Linked DNA regions of Drosophila melanogaster. Changing the gene in region 3 together with the main gene of any one other region gives a genetic interaction. Each region holds a gene or a part of one and is shown on either strand. Other genes may lie near its edges.

Region 1 (4,059 bases), on a different chromosome or scaffold from region 3:
CCTGGGTGGCACACCAGCCCAGTAGGGCGCCCCAATTGAAGGCCATGCCCAGAACCAGCTGGGGCCAGTAGGTGACTCTTTTCATCAGCGGATACGTGATCACGAGGCCCAGCGAACTGGCGCCCAACAATATGGATTGCCAGTTGAGCTGGACCAGCACCAAAAGACCCAGACTGAGCTGCGCCGAGAGGAATACTATGGCATCGAACTGACTGATCTGACCCGAGGCCAAGGGCCGCAACCTCGTGCGCTCCACTTTGGCATCGATGTCCTTGTCCCAGAGATCGTTGATGGTGCACCCGGCGCCGCGCATTATCAGTGCCCCGGTGCCGAACAGACCCAGCATGGTGAGGTCCGGCCAGCAGCCCGCATCCGCGCTGAGCGCTATGCTCCAGGCGCAAGGCCAGAAAAGGAGGTAGGTGCCAATAGGCCGGTCGATTCGCATTAGTTGGGCATAGGGTTTGGCGGCCGACACGAGTTCCTGCAGCGGCGTTTGCTGCTTCACGGGCTCAGTGGCGGTACTCGAACTCCTGGAGCATACATCCTGCAGCCGGGACTTATCCCAAGTGCTCCAATCTCCAATCAGAACACGCGCTGGTTGCCGGGGCAGCATGTGTTTTGTTGTTGCCGCCGCTGCATAAGAGCTGCGGAAGTGCCTAGCGCTCTGGAGTCGCAGGTGTCGAAGCGCATACATTGCGATTTGCCTTGCACTAGCACCTTCAACGATTAAAGCATTAAGTCACACGATGTTAAGTTGTATTTGTTCGTAAACTCACAGTCAAAAAATGGCAAGATGTTTAATGGAACTTTGGTTGGGAATGTCAAAGGGCTGCCATCCGGGTAAAGGCAGACAAAGAGTTGCCGGATAGATGAAAAAACAATATGATCCGGTGGCACTGCTGCATTTGGCGATAAAAATTTGAATTTAAGTTTCAAAGACAAATATATTAAAGTTGTAAACAACTTGTGTTAATTGTTAACTTTTGAGTTGTGTTTCACCAAAGTCATATTTATATATCTAAACACAGAAGAACATATGCGGAATGTAGTTCTTCGTTTTACCAATACTAATAACTAAAGCTTCTTTACAGTTATCTCCACCTAAGCAGTTTAGCAAAAGCTTTTGCTCTCTTTTTTGCGTAGACCCAACCATTTACCCCTCTGCAATATCGTTAATGTTTTGCGCACGTCGCCCATTTTTCGAAATTGGCACACGGCGCAGGAATGTCCGTAGAATTTATGCACACGGCCGCAGAAGGTTTGCGCACGGCCATCAATTTTGGCGGCATTCTATCCCAGTTAGAAATAGCACAGTAAGAAATAACACTCTAGGAAAGCCAAGTGGACTAAGGCAGACCTCCGGCGATCCGGCGGCCGACGGTTGCTATCGCTCCCATGCCGGAATATGGGCATATACCTACGTATGAATGTACTCGACTAGAGCCATAAAACCGTGATCGAAGCGAAGAAATAATGGAATTATTTCAACATCATGTATTACAGCAACAATTTCAGGGGGTTGTATTAGCCCATGATTGATAATCTGAATTGCAATAAATTCTGCACACGAATCGATTGTCGAACCTTTGCCATGAGTCCATAAATTAAGCTGCAAACCGCAGAGAAACCCACGACGCATCAATTATGGATTTTATCTCTCGAGATAAAGATCTGCAACTGATACCCAGAATATATCTTTTGATCTGACCTCTAACACTGAGATCTGCATGCATTTATGTTTATTTACATGACTGTATCTGGGCTGCCTTTCTTAGTGTGGGGCGACTATCGTTGGTATCGCCGCTACTGGGTGATAACGCTCTTTCCCATTGCCCATAGATAAGCGCACTTTCCTATCGCCGCGTCGGGGGATTAGGTGCGATTTTCTTTAAAAAACCACTCGCGAGCAGCGGGTTTCAAGCAGTCAACGCTCTGCTCTCAGCACCTCAGCAGGTCTAGCTCTTATCACTGTGCCTCCCCGATCGCCAGTCGGATTTTCCACGCCTTCTATCTATATCTATACTACACCAGCAGCCCAAGATGGATCACGGCTCGGATGACAGCACCAGCACGGCCAAGTCCTGCCCTATGATCATGGTGGTGAGTACGCAGTTACACAACTCCTGTGTCCAACAATTTTGATACAAAATCACTTACCACTGCGCTAAACGCTGTAATTTAAAAGTCACTCATCCAGTTTAGCTGAATGAGATTTGCACGGAGAGCAAACAAATATCTCGTCCGACTTGGAATTTGAATTCTCTGGCTAGTCACTCCCTAGTATAAGTTCGTATAAGTATGTTTATGTGCCAGAAACCACAACGAATTATTCGCTCTCTAGCGCTTTATTCGCTCTCAGCAAATACAAATAATACAAATTGAATATGCTCGAACAGGGTGTCTCATGAATAAAGATTCATGGGTTAAATTATACCGCTGTAAGGGAATTATAAAAAAGATGTTTAATTCGAATGTTATGTTTATGTTGATGTTTAATTGGAAAGCTTAAGCTTGATATTTTATAAAACTAAAAGTAATATTAAACTTTTGTATTAAGGATCATCTTAGCAAAAGTGACCATATAGATATACCTAGATATTAGATATCTAGGAATCTAGATATAGATACGAATTAGAAAGTTATTAAGTGGTAATTAGTGGTAGTTAACTGGTATTTAAGCCTCATCTTACTGATCTTATGGATTCTTATGTAGTTAATCTTTCACTCTCGCATCCTTTCAGTTCCACGCTGGACACTGCGAGCGAATTTTGTGGCGCGGATGGGTGGCGTCCACTGTGACGGAGTTCGTGCTCTCCGCCCTGGCCATCTTCCTGGTGTCCTTCCTGTATGAGGCGCTCAAGTTCCTGCGACAGCAACTGGCGCGCAGGGAAGCCCGTCGAGCAAGCGAGCAGCTGGCGGCGGAGCAGCGTAGGAAGAACGAGGCTCCGGCAGCCGGAGGATGCTGCTCGGAAGCTCCCCTGGCGGAGCCGAGGGAGCAGACCTACTGGCAGCGCTTGTTCGCCTCGTCGCACATCGTCCAGTCCCTGCTGAACCTGCTGCAGATCGTCATCTCGTACCTGCTGATGCTGATCTTCATGACCTTCAACTACTGGCTGTGCCTGGCAGTGATCCTGGGACTGGGTCTGGGCTACTTCTTCTTCGGCTGGAACAAGAAGAATCCCGACGAGAGCGAGTGCTGTCCTTAGATCAAGAATATCGCTCTTAATTGTTTATATATCTTGCAATTGTTATAAACTAAGCCCTTATCAGTTCTTGGTTCACACATCAAAGAAAAAGTCCCGTCCCCACGTAATTATACAAATTGTTTAAAAATACAATTTTATTCGATAGTTACACTTGGTTTAATTGTTATTGATGTAATCGTAGCATAAATTAGTCAACTAGTTTACTTAATGAGCATATTGTACAAATAGTGTAGTCATGAGAACAAGAACCTATACAACGCGTATTCATCTAAAGCGATTAAAGTACTACTCAATACTTTTGACTTTACAATATGTTTTTATAAGCAATACACTTTATTTTTGACCACCCCGAACTCAAAACGCAAACAATCCGATATGAGACAAAAAAGAAGGCAAAGTTAAATCTCCAGGATTACATGAAATTCGTTATGAAATGCGAACATTACCAGGTCTGAGTCCTGACAGCCCACAACTCACATTTGAAGGCCTAACTAATCACGATACTCACCTATCACACAATAGTACATATTTTAGTTTAGTTAAGATCTTGAAAAATCTTTTTAACAAATATTTTAGCTGTGATACATCTGGGCAGGTAATATAACTAAGCAAACCTTATGATTATGTGAATCATCTCGCACACATTTTTTTACGACACTTTATCTATTTGTACTTGCCTAACCACACACCAGTATTTGCAAGCTTCTTAGTTAAAGTTTAAATTATTTTGAAATTTCCGGGATAATTATAAGTTCTTTTAGTGCATTTGTTTAAAATTTGAGTGACAAGTGAGCGCCATGATGAGACCATTCCCTAACTAGCTCTTAGACTAGAGTAACCTAGACTGAACAAC
Region 2 (7,242 bases), on a different chromosome or scaffold from region 3:
TGGGTGGTATTTTGGGTGCAATAGCTGCGGGCTATCTATCAGATGTGAGCGGAATGTCGGCCACCGTCTGCACAGGCATGTTGTTCGTTGCCTCGCCCATTGTAAGTACTCTAGACAAGCCACAGAAACCATTACTAGGAACATGTATTCGTTTCAGCTGCTGATGTATCAACAATATGGTGCATTGTCGATGACAATCAGCATAGTGCTCTTGATTGTGGTCGGCATCTTTGTGAACGGACCATATGCCCTGATTACAACCTCTGTAAGTGCAGAGCTGGGCCAGCACAGCTCCTTGGAGGGAAATGCCAATGCTCTGGCCACGGTGACGGCCATTATCGATGGTACTGGGTCAATCGGAGCGGCAGTTGGTCCACTGCTTGCCGGCCTTATCTCCACCGCCGGATGGCAGTATGTCTTCCACATGCTCATCGCTGCCGACATCATTGCCATGGTGCTGCTGGGGCGACTGGTCTTCAAGGAGTTCGCTGCACTGCGTCGTGCATCGCATCGTATTCGGATTGAATAGCAGGAAGAAGCTGAAGCGGATGTGGTTTGACCATATATATATTTTTGTTTCTAGCGTTCTCTGTACATACCATAGCATTTGTATAGCTAACATAAAGAACGTTTTCTTTTCATTCGAGAGCATATCAGAGTGTTTCTGATCCTAGTTTTACCCATACATGTCAATACCTAATGTTATTTTAAATGGAATGTTTACCATCATCTTAGGCTATCCATCAAGTTTACAATTTTGATATATTACCTACATACATATATATATATATATATATATACATACATCTATGTTGTAATCTTGTGTGTGCGCGCGTGTGTCAGAGTCTCCTCGTTTTAAGTGCCGAACTATCATTAGTACTAGCGTAATTCTACTGCTATGTAAATACACTTTATCGTACACTTTTCGTACCAATAAAACCGAATTTGACTGTTCTCCGCGGCAGTACAATTTCTCAATGGCGATGCTTAAGTTAAATCCTGCTTCCGCTGGCGATCCTTGCTCATTCTTCGGAAATGGTCAAGGAGTCTCTTCTGTTGCGGCGCATATAACTCTCTGATGCAATCCTCTTGAGGAACTTTACGGTGGTCGCATCGTTCTGATTGACGAGCTTAAGAAGGGCTCCATCCTTGCGCTGCAGGAGCTTGTGAGGTGCTCCGAACTCCACAATCTGGCCAGCATCCATGACCAGGACGCTGTCATTGTCCATCACAGTGTGCAATCTGTGAGCGATCGTTAGAACCGTGCACTCAGCAAACTTGGTCTGGATGGTTTCTTGGATCAGGATATCAGTTCTAAGAGATAAAGTGTTAATTACGAAAAAAATGAAAATAATATCTTAAGAACCTACTCTGTATCCACATTTGCAGTTGCTTCGTCCATGACCAGAACTCGATTCTGTCGTAGAATGGCTCTGGCCAAGCAGACCAGCTGCCTCTGACCCATGCTGAAGTTGGAGCCACCGTCCTGCATGCGACAGGAGAGACCTCCTTCCAATGAGGCAACATGCTTCTTCAGTTTGACGTCATCCAATGCACTCCACAGGGACTCGTCGCTTTTTTCATCAAATGGATCCAGATTGAAGCGCAGTGTTCCAGAGAACAGAACCGGATCTTGTGGGATAATCGAGATTCTACTTCGCAGGTCGTGGAGACCCAGTTTACCAATGTCCAGTCCATCGATCTCGATGGTTCCCTCATTAAGAGCCAATCGGAATAGAGCTTGAATTATAGAGGATTTTCCCGCTCCAGTACGTCCCACAATGCCAATCTTTTCCATGGGCTGGGATTCAAAGTTCAGTCCTCTAAGAATATCCTCGTCTCCCGGGGAATATCTCATGCGAAGATCCTGGAATCGAAGGTGACCCGCTTGCGGCCATTCAGCTGCAAGATTCACACTCTTTGGACTCTCAAGTGGTGGCTCCGATGGCGTCTGGGCGTACTCTAGCACACGTTCCACGCTGGTCATATTGTTCTCCATCTCGGCAGTCTGGCGCATTCCCCACTGGCACATAATCACCAATGTCATGGACTGGGTGATGGCCAGACCCACATCACCGCTGTAGAAGCTCTGATTGATAACCAGAAAGCTAAAGGTCACCGCCAGGATATAGATCACGCAAATCAGATCGGTCCAGAAGGAAAACGCCCTGTTGGCGCTTACATAAAGAAAAAGGGCAGAGGAGTTTGTGTTCTGGTGGCCATGGAAAGTCTGTTCCAGCTGCGGCATGGCGTCCATGGACCTAATGGTCGAGTGTCCATGGAAGGTTTGGTTTGTGTGCGAGTAGATGGGACTGCGTGCTTTTAAGTTAAATGAGAAAAGTTAGTAAGGCTAGATTATTCTGATAAATTTGAACCTACTTAAGCTCTCAATCCTCTTCAGACTTCGACTGGCGCCTATATAGAGGGCACGGCAGAAATACAATAGTATAACCATAATGGCTGCTGGGATGAGCAGCCAATAGTTGGCGATGGCCACGATCACCAGCACAGCCACCACATCTACCAGGAACTAAGGGACAAGATTAAGAATTGCATGAGACTAAAGAAGAAGTGGTTGAGCTAGGTGTACTTACTTGAAGGGAATCCATCATAGCCTGTGGCAGATTCACATCTACATTCTGTATGTCGCTGGAGAATCGATTGAGCACTCTCCCAGATGGATTAGCATTGAAGAAGTACATCCAGGCGCGGATTATCCCATGGTAGAGCTGATCGTGCAATGTCAATGAGATGCGCAGGCACATGAAGAAGAATCCAAAGGTGCGCAGCAGGAACAATGCCAAAGTGAGCAACAGGAGCACCGTATACCAGATAACCATTTTGGTGCGAGTGGCTTCATAGTCATCCACCGAATCATACCCTCTATCCTCCTCCCAAGTGGCCCATCGTGAGATGAAAATGTCCATGACGGCCTGGCATCCTCGGGCCAGGACAAACATGGAGAGCACCAAACAGACCAGGAATGGAGCGCCAAGAGCCCGAAAGTAAGCCTTATAGGTATCGTAGCTCACGGCACCCTGAAGTTGCTGTTCGGCATTGCCATTCTCATCCTGGATGGTGGCAGGATCCTTTTCTTCTCCCTTGCTTAGCTGCTTTGACGTCCTGTCCACCTGGCTGAGCACACGCTTCACTTGCTGCTTATCCGCCTCGATGGCCTCCAGATCCAGAGCAGCATGGTGGGTGATAACGTCCTTAAGTTCCTCATAGCTACCCTGCTGGGTGAGCTTTCCTCCCTCCAACAGCAGCAGTTGATCCACACTCTTGAGCAACTGGACATGATGAGTGACTAGAATGCGCATTTTGCCATCCAGCAATCGGTGGAAGCACTTGTCCATCAGCAGCTTACCCACCTGGGCATCAACGGCGGCCAGAGGATCGTCGAATAGGTAGATATCCGCCTGGCGGTACACTGCTCTGGCTAGCGCAATCCTGGCCTTTTGGCCACCACTCAGGCTGATTCCTCGCTCACCCACAACGGTGGCATCACCGCGTGGCAGTAGTTCCAAATCTCTGTCCAACTGACACGCATGGACCACTGCTCGGTATCGCTTCTCCTCGTATTGCTCCACAAACAGGATGTTCTCCCTGATGCTGCCCTGGAATACCCACGGCTGTTGGGCGGCATAGCTAATCCTGCCATGAACCTCAACTCGTCCCTGCATGAGCTCGATCTCACCGAGAATGGCATGAAGAAGGGTGCTCTTTCCGGAGCCCACATTACCCACAATGCCCACAAACTGGCCTGCGTTGATGTGAAAGGAGATACCCTCAATATGTGGCTTCCTAGGTTGCTTTATGCTCGGCTTGTCCCAACTCGCGCTCACTTTTCGGAAACTTAAGCACTTAGTCTCACTTTGTACGCAGTGGAGCCGCCCACTCTGTGCTGGTTTCGGTTTCTCTGCATCCAACTCCAGTCCGGGATTGTCTCGGCAGCAGGACTCCTCCGTCGGCTTCTCCACTTGCAGCAGGAACTCCACTACTCGACGCGCACTGACCAGAGTCTGAGCCCAAGTGGTGATGGCCATGGGCCAGTAGTGCAGCAATGAATCATTGAGTAAGCCGTAGTAGGAAGACAGAATGAACACCTTCTTGGCCGTCACAAGGTCACCCACATACACGTAGGCCACCAGACTCAGGAAAAGCGATATCTTGGAGATCATATTGGTGCACTGCAGGGCGGCGTATATGCTCATGGATCCTCGGATGGCCTTTACCTCCGACTGCCTTACTGCGGCAATCAGGCGTCCAAAGGACTTCTCCCACGCATACATCTTAATCACTTGGATGGCACCGATGATCTCGTTCATGAGCTTTACCCGTGCATCCCGATGCTTGGCGGATCGGGTGCCGAAACTAGCAGAAGCCTTGGCGGCCCAGGCTTGCAGGGGTATCAATATCACAATGAAGGCGATTCCAATCAGTGATGTCCAGCCCACCTGGCGGGTCATCAAGTAGCCAAAGATACAGGCCTCCACGGGACCCTTCCACAGGTCGTGAAAGAAGTAAAAAGTCAAGTCGAACTGCGAGAGATCGATGGACATCACCGAAATGGCCTGGCCTCCAAGTCCTTCGCCACTGCTCGCCGAGGCGCGCAGACATTTCCGGTAGACCAGGCCGGCACAGGCCAATCTGACCCGCGTTCCCACCGCGAATACGTAGAACATAAATGGGTGAAACACTAGGGAGGTGACCAGCGAGCACAGGACAATGCCCATGGCGTACAGATAGGCACTCTCCTTGGTCACCGTCGTCTGGCCGTAGGCGAAGTAGGAGATCAATCCTCCGAGCAGCAAAGGCTGGAAGGAACTGCAATTAAAGCGGAAGTGAAAAGTGAGATTGCTGTGATTTCCGGAAGTATATTTAGATTCTGTACTCACTGAATAGCCATTTCCAACAGAGAATATAAAATGCAAACGGGAACAAACTGCCATCCGTAGACCTTAAAGATCAGCCGCATAAGACTCGGATTTTTCTTCTTGGACTCCTTCTCCCAGTGGGGCTGTAGGTTTCTGGTCAAGGACTCACTATCGAAACTGGGCAGGTGTTCGTACAGCTTACTCGCGTCCAACTCCTCCCGCCTGCCCTTCCGAAAAACACTGTGCATCCATCTGAAGGAGGAAAAATGATAAGTCGTTCAATATCTTATCAAAGTATCTCCAAGGTAGGCGACTTGCAAATGGCATGTCTGATCCAGGGCATTACTACGTGACTGCCCAACAGTCAATGGTCAATCAATATCGCGAAATTCCGATTTATGACCGAAATCTCATGTGGAAACTATGGGTTAAAAATAACCATTATCACTTAATGAGTTTTGAAAAAGATATTCCAAAGCTGACTTCTGGGCATTACAAGTATCTTAACTTTTTTGCTTAAACTTTTCGGAGATGTTGTTTATCAGCACTTATTAGCAACAATTAGCACTATCCTTATCGCGAGTTGTAAACTATTCACTGATTGACCATGACCATCGTTTCCGCAGAGATTTTCACTTTTCACCAATAAAAAAAAAATATTGACGACTCACAGGAACAGCCACTTAGAGATTATATTGGCCTTGATAAACGGATTACTCTCTCTTTTCGGACTCGACTGCTTAGAAGCATCCATGGCTCCATATGCTCGCGGCGCCAGACGGATTGAATATGCCCCAAAACGGACGGTCGAAGGCGCTTTTAACGACTTCAGCACTCACAGACGGAGCAGTGACGTCTGTGGATTATTTGTCCGGAGAACCACCATCTTCTACGGTTTGCACTTGGCACAACGCCTGTCCAAACGGCGATAAAGTGGCCAACTCAACACGTTTTTTGAGAGTTCACCGCTTTTGATAGTGATACGTAGTGATAGTGACTAAGGCGTAATCGATAGCGCAATTAGACTGCAATTGAAACGGCGGCCATTACTGCAATTTGCGCTCCAAAAGTTAGCTCGCTAAGCCCAAATGGCCATATATCTTGACTGGATTCTGGAGATATAGGGGAGTTTTAGCGGTCTTTGTCTTGGACCATAATCACAAGCAGATACGCCAAGCCATTTGTATCCGAAGTGGGTTTTTTATGAGGTAGCATTCCCCCAGCAGCTTATCTAATCGGGATCGCTTATTATGCTGTTATATTTGGAACTGGCACGAGAAACTATGTTTGTCCAGGTTGACCAAGTTCAATACACCCAGAGATAAGACAAGTTTTCATTCATGACTAAAGCTTTAATGGCGTTAAAATACGGGGGATTTTGGAAATATTGCACAGCCTGTGGACAAGGCGATAGATGAGCGATTGCAGGCAATTCAAAATGCAAAATTAAAACTTACGTCTTAGGAAACGAATACTTGCAGTTACACAATCAATACAGAAAATTTTAGCTACATAATCTACGCCGGGGTAGACACCAGATCTGATAGAGAGTTAGATACAGTACAAAAGCATATTATAAAAGTATGGTATAATATCATATTATAGGCATCTTTTCTGGCTAGGGTAAAGTAGGGAAACTTTGGTATTTATCACTCTATCAGATCTTTTGAATGCCCCAGATGTATAGATATGGATTATGTATGTATGGATTCTAAGGCAGGCTGTGTAGATCGTATAGCGTGTAGAGGTCTTCTGTGCGATCGTAGTTGGTTCTCATATGCTTCAGCATGGAAGGCAGGTTCTCTTTGGCCGCCTCGACATCGGAGCACACTTTCTTGAGAAGATCTCCCCTAGTGGGCATCGCGTACATAGCCAGGCGCGCTCCTTTGCGGATGAGGAATGAGTGATGCTTGCCCAGGGTGTCATCGTAGGCCTCCTTGCACACGTCCACAGTCTTTTGGTCGTCGGGTATCGCCTGGATCCGATTGAGAAACTCGTAGACAAAGTCTAGATAAGAAGAAACCAATCAATTAGCCACTGTGGCAGTTATATGCGCATAACGCTCACCAAGACCGCGATGAAGACGTAGCAGCGTTCGACTGCCAGACACGTAACCCTTCTGAGTAAGCAACTGGGCCTCCTTCTCGTAATCCAGCATGGTTCTGAAGGTATTAAAGTGTTCCTGCTCCTCCGCGTCCTTGGCTCTCAGGGCGTATAAGATATCTATTTTACTGCGCACATCGCTGCTGACAAAACTGAAGACACTGCCCATGAGCTGGAAGAACCTAATGAACACCGAAAGCCCAATAGAGCACCACTAAAAAACATAAACATCATAATCACTCAGTTTACTTCATTATTTCCT
Region 3 (4,872 bases):
CGTATAGCTACCACCCATCATATACATAACAAATAATTATATATACTGGCATCAGCGTACACGATTAGATTTAAATATTGTGCACTCGTAGAATATCTTTTATATATCGTCTGTGTAAAAACGAACCCATATATTTATGGATTGAATATAAACATATTTACAAATATGTGCATGTCTACAGTATTTTCCATTCGAATGCGAATAAAGATGATAAACGGAACACAGACTTGGGGTTCTTGAATTTAGATCGAGTTTCCTGCCTGGTGAGCCACTTTGGAAACGATGTTCACTTTGGATATTTTTCAATCGAATACGCATAATTAATTGAAACACAAAAACATACACTTTAAATGCACTTCACACAAATTTATTGTGATCCCATGCAAATCAGAACATCATCATCTACGCGCTATACAAATCTTAGTTGCGACGACCAAAGTTGTTGGTGTTGGGCTGGGTGAGCTGCAGGCCACGGATGTTGTGGAAGTCCAGAAGCTTCAACATCTCCTTGGTGTCGGCGTCGACCTCGATGATGTCCTGCTCCAGAGCGGAGACGGCCGGGACGTAGTTGTCACGACGCTCACGCTCCTCCTCCTGCAACTTGATGGAGATACCACGCACCTGGGAGTGACGCAGGCGGCCCATCAAATGGGTGACATAGCTGGAAAGGAATTTGGGGATTATAGATCCACTCACTAACGAGATTTGAGCGGCACTTACCCGGCAATCTTGTTGCGCAGGGGCTTGGTGGGAATGATGGCCACCTCCTCGCAGATGCGCTTGTTGGTGTGGAAGTCCAACGTCAGGCGAGTGTAGTACTTCTCGATGATGACCTTAGCGGCCTTCTTCACCGTCTTGGTTCGTACGCGACCCTGTGGTAGTTGATAAAATGTTTAGTATCACGATAGTTCAATCCATTTTGTTGTATCTTTGCGATAGTTTTCTGTCACAACTAAATAGTTATTTGCAGCTGATTTTCTGAGATAGTTGCGGCATTTTTCGGGGACTTTTAATGTAAGAGGCCTTCACTCGGTTTTAGTTTAGGTTTCTTTTAAAGTTTCCGTTTGAATTGCTATTTGGTATTGATATTAAGGACGGTTTCAAGACGCCGGATACAAATAATTGCTTTTGGGGTAACAAAATTGGCACTATGCACGTGGGATAAGCGGCTGTCGTTGCCGTTTTATGCTTGTTTGACCGCTTTTTGATTCGAGTTCAGCCAGTTTTTCGTTGGTACGTACCATTATGTTGCTCGATGGATATTTTAATCACCGCTAAAATGAGAAATAAGCAATTATTTTTAAGAAAAACGTGGAGAAACAAAATTTGTGCACATACCTCGCCGGAAACGAAAGAAAAAGAAGGATGCCGTGTGACCAGGGTGGTTGTGTGAAAAACATACTAAAATATACCGCAAATATACCATAATTATGCAAATCTCGAAGGTAGATGAATTAAATAGAAATAAGAGAGGACTTGAACCTTAGAACACATTATTTAACAAAAACCGCATTATTGTACTAAACATTTTAAATGAGACTATTGTACAGTGCAATGGTACCTAAATATGGGCTAGAATACTTGTTATGAAACAAACTCTTTTTTATAAGAAAATATATAAAATCTTTAAAAATAAGTCTATTCGGCAGTATATTGGTTTCGCAAATTTATTCATTCTTTAAATTAGAACACCTTAGTTTCAATTTCACACCACGCTTGGAGACTCCGCCTAAAACTCTACACGCGGTTTGAGTCCCCACTAAGCGGTGTCCCCTTTTGCGTTCCACTATTTTCGGTATATCCCAGTTTATGGTATATTTCAGCCAGAACCGCGTTATATTTTGTCGTTCCGCCCATGGTCACACTGGTTCTTATCGTTGTTGCTTGTGCTTTTCGATCGCGGATGTGTGCTTTTCGATCTCGCGATCTCTAATTTCTTTAGCAATCTATATATATGTACATATTGCACGGTGGCAGCAGAGAAAGAGAATAACAACTGCATATCATATGCGATATAGCAAGCGTTTGTCTTAGTGTGCGTGGGTGTGCAAATAACAAATAATACGACATGAACGACCAAGAGAAACAACACCAGCAACAACAACAACACTACTTCCACAGCGAGTGGAAGACTACCGCTAATAGTCATGGAAATTCGTTATCAGACAGCCGGGATTATGATACCAACTCGTCGCGCAATTCGCTTTCCGGCTCCCCGCCCGTCACATCCAATTGCTCCTCCTCTGGTTCCCTGGACTTCGACAGGCCACTAGCTCAGTTGCTCGAACCGAAATTGGAGGCCGACGGGCTGGGCATCATCCATGGGGACAACTACAGCATCTACGGCAGCCAGACGGCGGAATCCACAAGTGGCGAGCAACAGGTGCTTAATCTGGGCCTCACCCTTGATACGGGGGACGCCCAGGCGACATATGGCGACCTATTCGGTGCCCAGGATCAACTCACTGCATCTCAAACTCATGGCCATTCACAAGTTGTTGTATCTGCGGCAGCGGACAACGCTTTTTCGCTTGCGGATCAACTAACACCATTGCCCATCACGGTCATACCCATCACATATCACCATACCACCGAGAATCTCAGCTCCAGCCACTCTGAAGTTCCGCTGATAGCCAGTCTGAGCGATATCACCGCCCAGGTGTTCAATCTGGATGACATCTGCTTCACGCTGGAATACCAGTTCGAGAACCAGAGGCTCGTCCAAGTCCAGCCGCCCACTGTGGTCTCGCTCAGCATGGTGTCCAGCCCCAACGAGGCTGCAAATCCTCCAATCAACTGTGATAACGACCAGGGAACTGGAAACAGCATCTCTAGGGACTCCACATCCAATTCTCCAGCTTATTTCACAATTGAGACGAGGTATTCCCCACTTGCACGTACACCCACCGCTGCATGTGTATTTTATGATTTGCTTGTATTTGGAATGTTTTTTTGCTTAGGCGTGGTGTTTTATAGATATGATAACAACAACCCGTTCTGGAATTGCAATATTATTCGTGTAGAAAAATGTAACTATAATTTTATATAGATTCAGAACTATATATTGCCTTAAAAAATCGGTTCTCGAAACTTCGTACATATGTGTGTATGCATATTGTATATATATCGAAGCAAGAATTTTGCCATATATTTTAAACAAAATTCAAGGAAAATTATTGAATTCAAAAAATCAAAATAAATCATAAGTCTTGGCAAAGCATTTTATTTGAGATATTGAATTTGGTTCAAGCTTTGAGCACATAATTAATTCATTAAATTTATGTTATGATTAGAGCACAGAATTATGAAATATTAAAAATATATACACTTTTTTGCCGATATTATTTAATATTTAATTTTATGCCAGTCCTTGAAATCGTTCGATTGCCTTACGAAAAAAATCACTTAATTTCGATTTGGTGCAAAAGCCAGAACGGGAATAATAATTGCATATTTTTAGTGTCATGTATGAGTGGATTTGTGCTTGGTGCTTTTGTCGTTTTTTGGCCAATTATAGTGGGCCGTCAGGTGTGCCTTGCCCTCCGCATTCTGACCCCCGCCAGGGACACCACCGCCCCTCTTCGCTGCTAATTTTCCACTGCCCACACACAAAAAGATTCTCGAGAGAGAGAGAGAGAGAGCGCGGAAAAAAGGAAAACATTTGCCTAGCGTCTGTCGTGACGTGTCCGATTTTTTTTTTAAATTTTATTTCACTTTTTGTTTGGCTGCCCACGAAAAAAAAGAGGCAAAATCGAATTTTCATATTTTCTTCCTTGTCGAGAATTTGTGTTGGCAAATTTCAAGCGTTCCAATGTCCACTTATTACAACGCGGTGTCCGAATCGCTTGCAAGTTGCTTGCTAATTGCCTGATTTGTGTTCTCAGCCTGTTGCATTTCTGCGCGCTTCAATCGACTCGACCAGCGCATACCCTCGTCGCAAACATCCAATATTACCGAGACTATGTGCCAATGGGCATCATAATGGCTGCATGCCTTTGGGCCTCCACTTCGGCTGATGATTGTATCGAAAATCATTTGTTTGGGCCAAAAATAGTTGCGGCGATGAACGCATTTAGATTTCTACCCCCACCCCAAATGCCAAGCAGAATGTATAGATGGATATACATATGCATACATAGATGTATATTTCTACAATGTGTTAGGCGAAGACGACCGAAAATTTCCCCGAAACTCATTAACACTTGATGTAAAGAAGCCGGTTTTCAAAAGAATCCAAATTGTAGTGGCTTCTATTGTGAAATTCTCCCCCAACAAAGTGCGATTTGGCACTATAAAAAGTTTTCTCTATATATTCTATTTTTCCCAAAGGGTAAAAATCGTAAATGTCTCAAAGGTCTTTATTCTCTAGAAATAGGCTAAATAACATGTACAGCTGATAGGGCTTTTAATATAAATACAAAGCAAATCAGTTCTCCCGAAACTTAGTTAACAACTTTGTGATAAGTCACGAATGCTGAAGGGTTTACACAATGTTTACTCACATTTCAATAGATATGGATGATACAGGAAATCGACTGATAAAATGTACAGGGTAATAGATAGACTTAGACCAGCTGATACGTAAAGTACCCGATTGATTGAAACCCTTCAAAAGATATGCGGAATCGGTCATAAACTAAATTTTCCCGCGACTAAGTCCAAATGATCTGTTGTGATGGGCTTAGTTCGCTACGTTCTACATTGTTGTTGCTCTTCGCTAGCTCATTATTCTGCGGTACAATAATTTTTCAATTTTTCATCCGTGCCTTGCTTGTTGTGTTCCTTCCTTCCTGCCGTGCTCCCCGTTCGGCGACGACGCCCTCTTGCTATTTTTACCGCCATGAGTAGTGTTCCCTCAATCATATTTCTCAT

The links.
Region 1: of MTF-1 (region 3) and Ctr1B, changing one suppresses a phenotype caused by changing the other (phenotypic suppression), as found in Drosophila melanogaster (3 studies listed by BioGRID).
Region 2: of MTF-1 (region 3) and CG10505, changing one suppresses a phenotype caused by changing the other (phenotypic suppression), as found in Drosophila melanogaster (one study listed by BioGRID).

What each region holds. Positions count from the first base shown.
Region 1 is NT_033777.3:8,315,697-8,319,755, forward strand, and holds Ctr1B (copper transporter 1B), read left to right. Parts: upstream 1-1,915; 5' UTR 1,916-2,040; coding exon 2,041-2,100; exon of another isoform or gene 2,101-2,310; intron 2,311-2,741; coding exon 2,742-3,206; 3' UTR 3,207-3,509; downstream 3,510-4,059. Other genes in the region: Coq2 (coenzyme Q biosynthesis protein 2), read right to left, coding at 1-694.
Region 2 is NT_033778.4:21,284,698-21,291,939, forward strand, and holds CG10505 (uncharacterized protein), read right to left. Parts: upstream 5,647-7,242; 5' UTR 5,632-5,646; coding exon 5,549-5,631; intron 5,130-5,548; coding exon 4,899-5,129; intron 4,828-4,898; coding exon 2,595-4,827; intron 2,531-2,594; coding exon 2,380-2,530; intron 2,320-2,379; coding exon 1,371-2,319; intron 1,315-1,370; coding exon 1,023-1,314; 3' UTR 551-1,022; downstream 1-550. Other genes in the region: MFS16 (major facilitator superfamily transporter 16), read left to right, coding at 1-101, 158-529; CG30392 (uncharacterized protein), read right to left, coding at 6,589-6,884, 6,945-7,162, 7,230-7,242.
Region 3 is NT_037436.4:9,428,454-9,433,325, forward strand, and holds the start of MTF-1 (metal response element-binding transcription Factor-1), read left to right. Parts: upstream 1-1,858; 5' UTR 1,859-2,068; coding exon 2,069-2,880; intron 2,881-4,872. Other genes in the region: RpS17 (ribosomal protein S17), read right to left, coding at 421-661, 721-872, 1,242-1,244.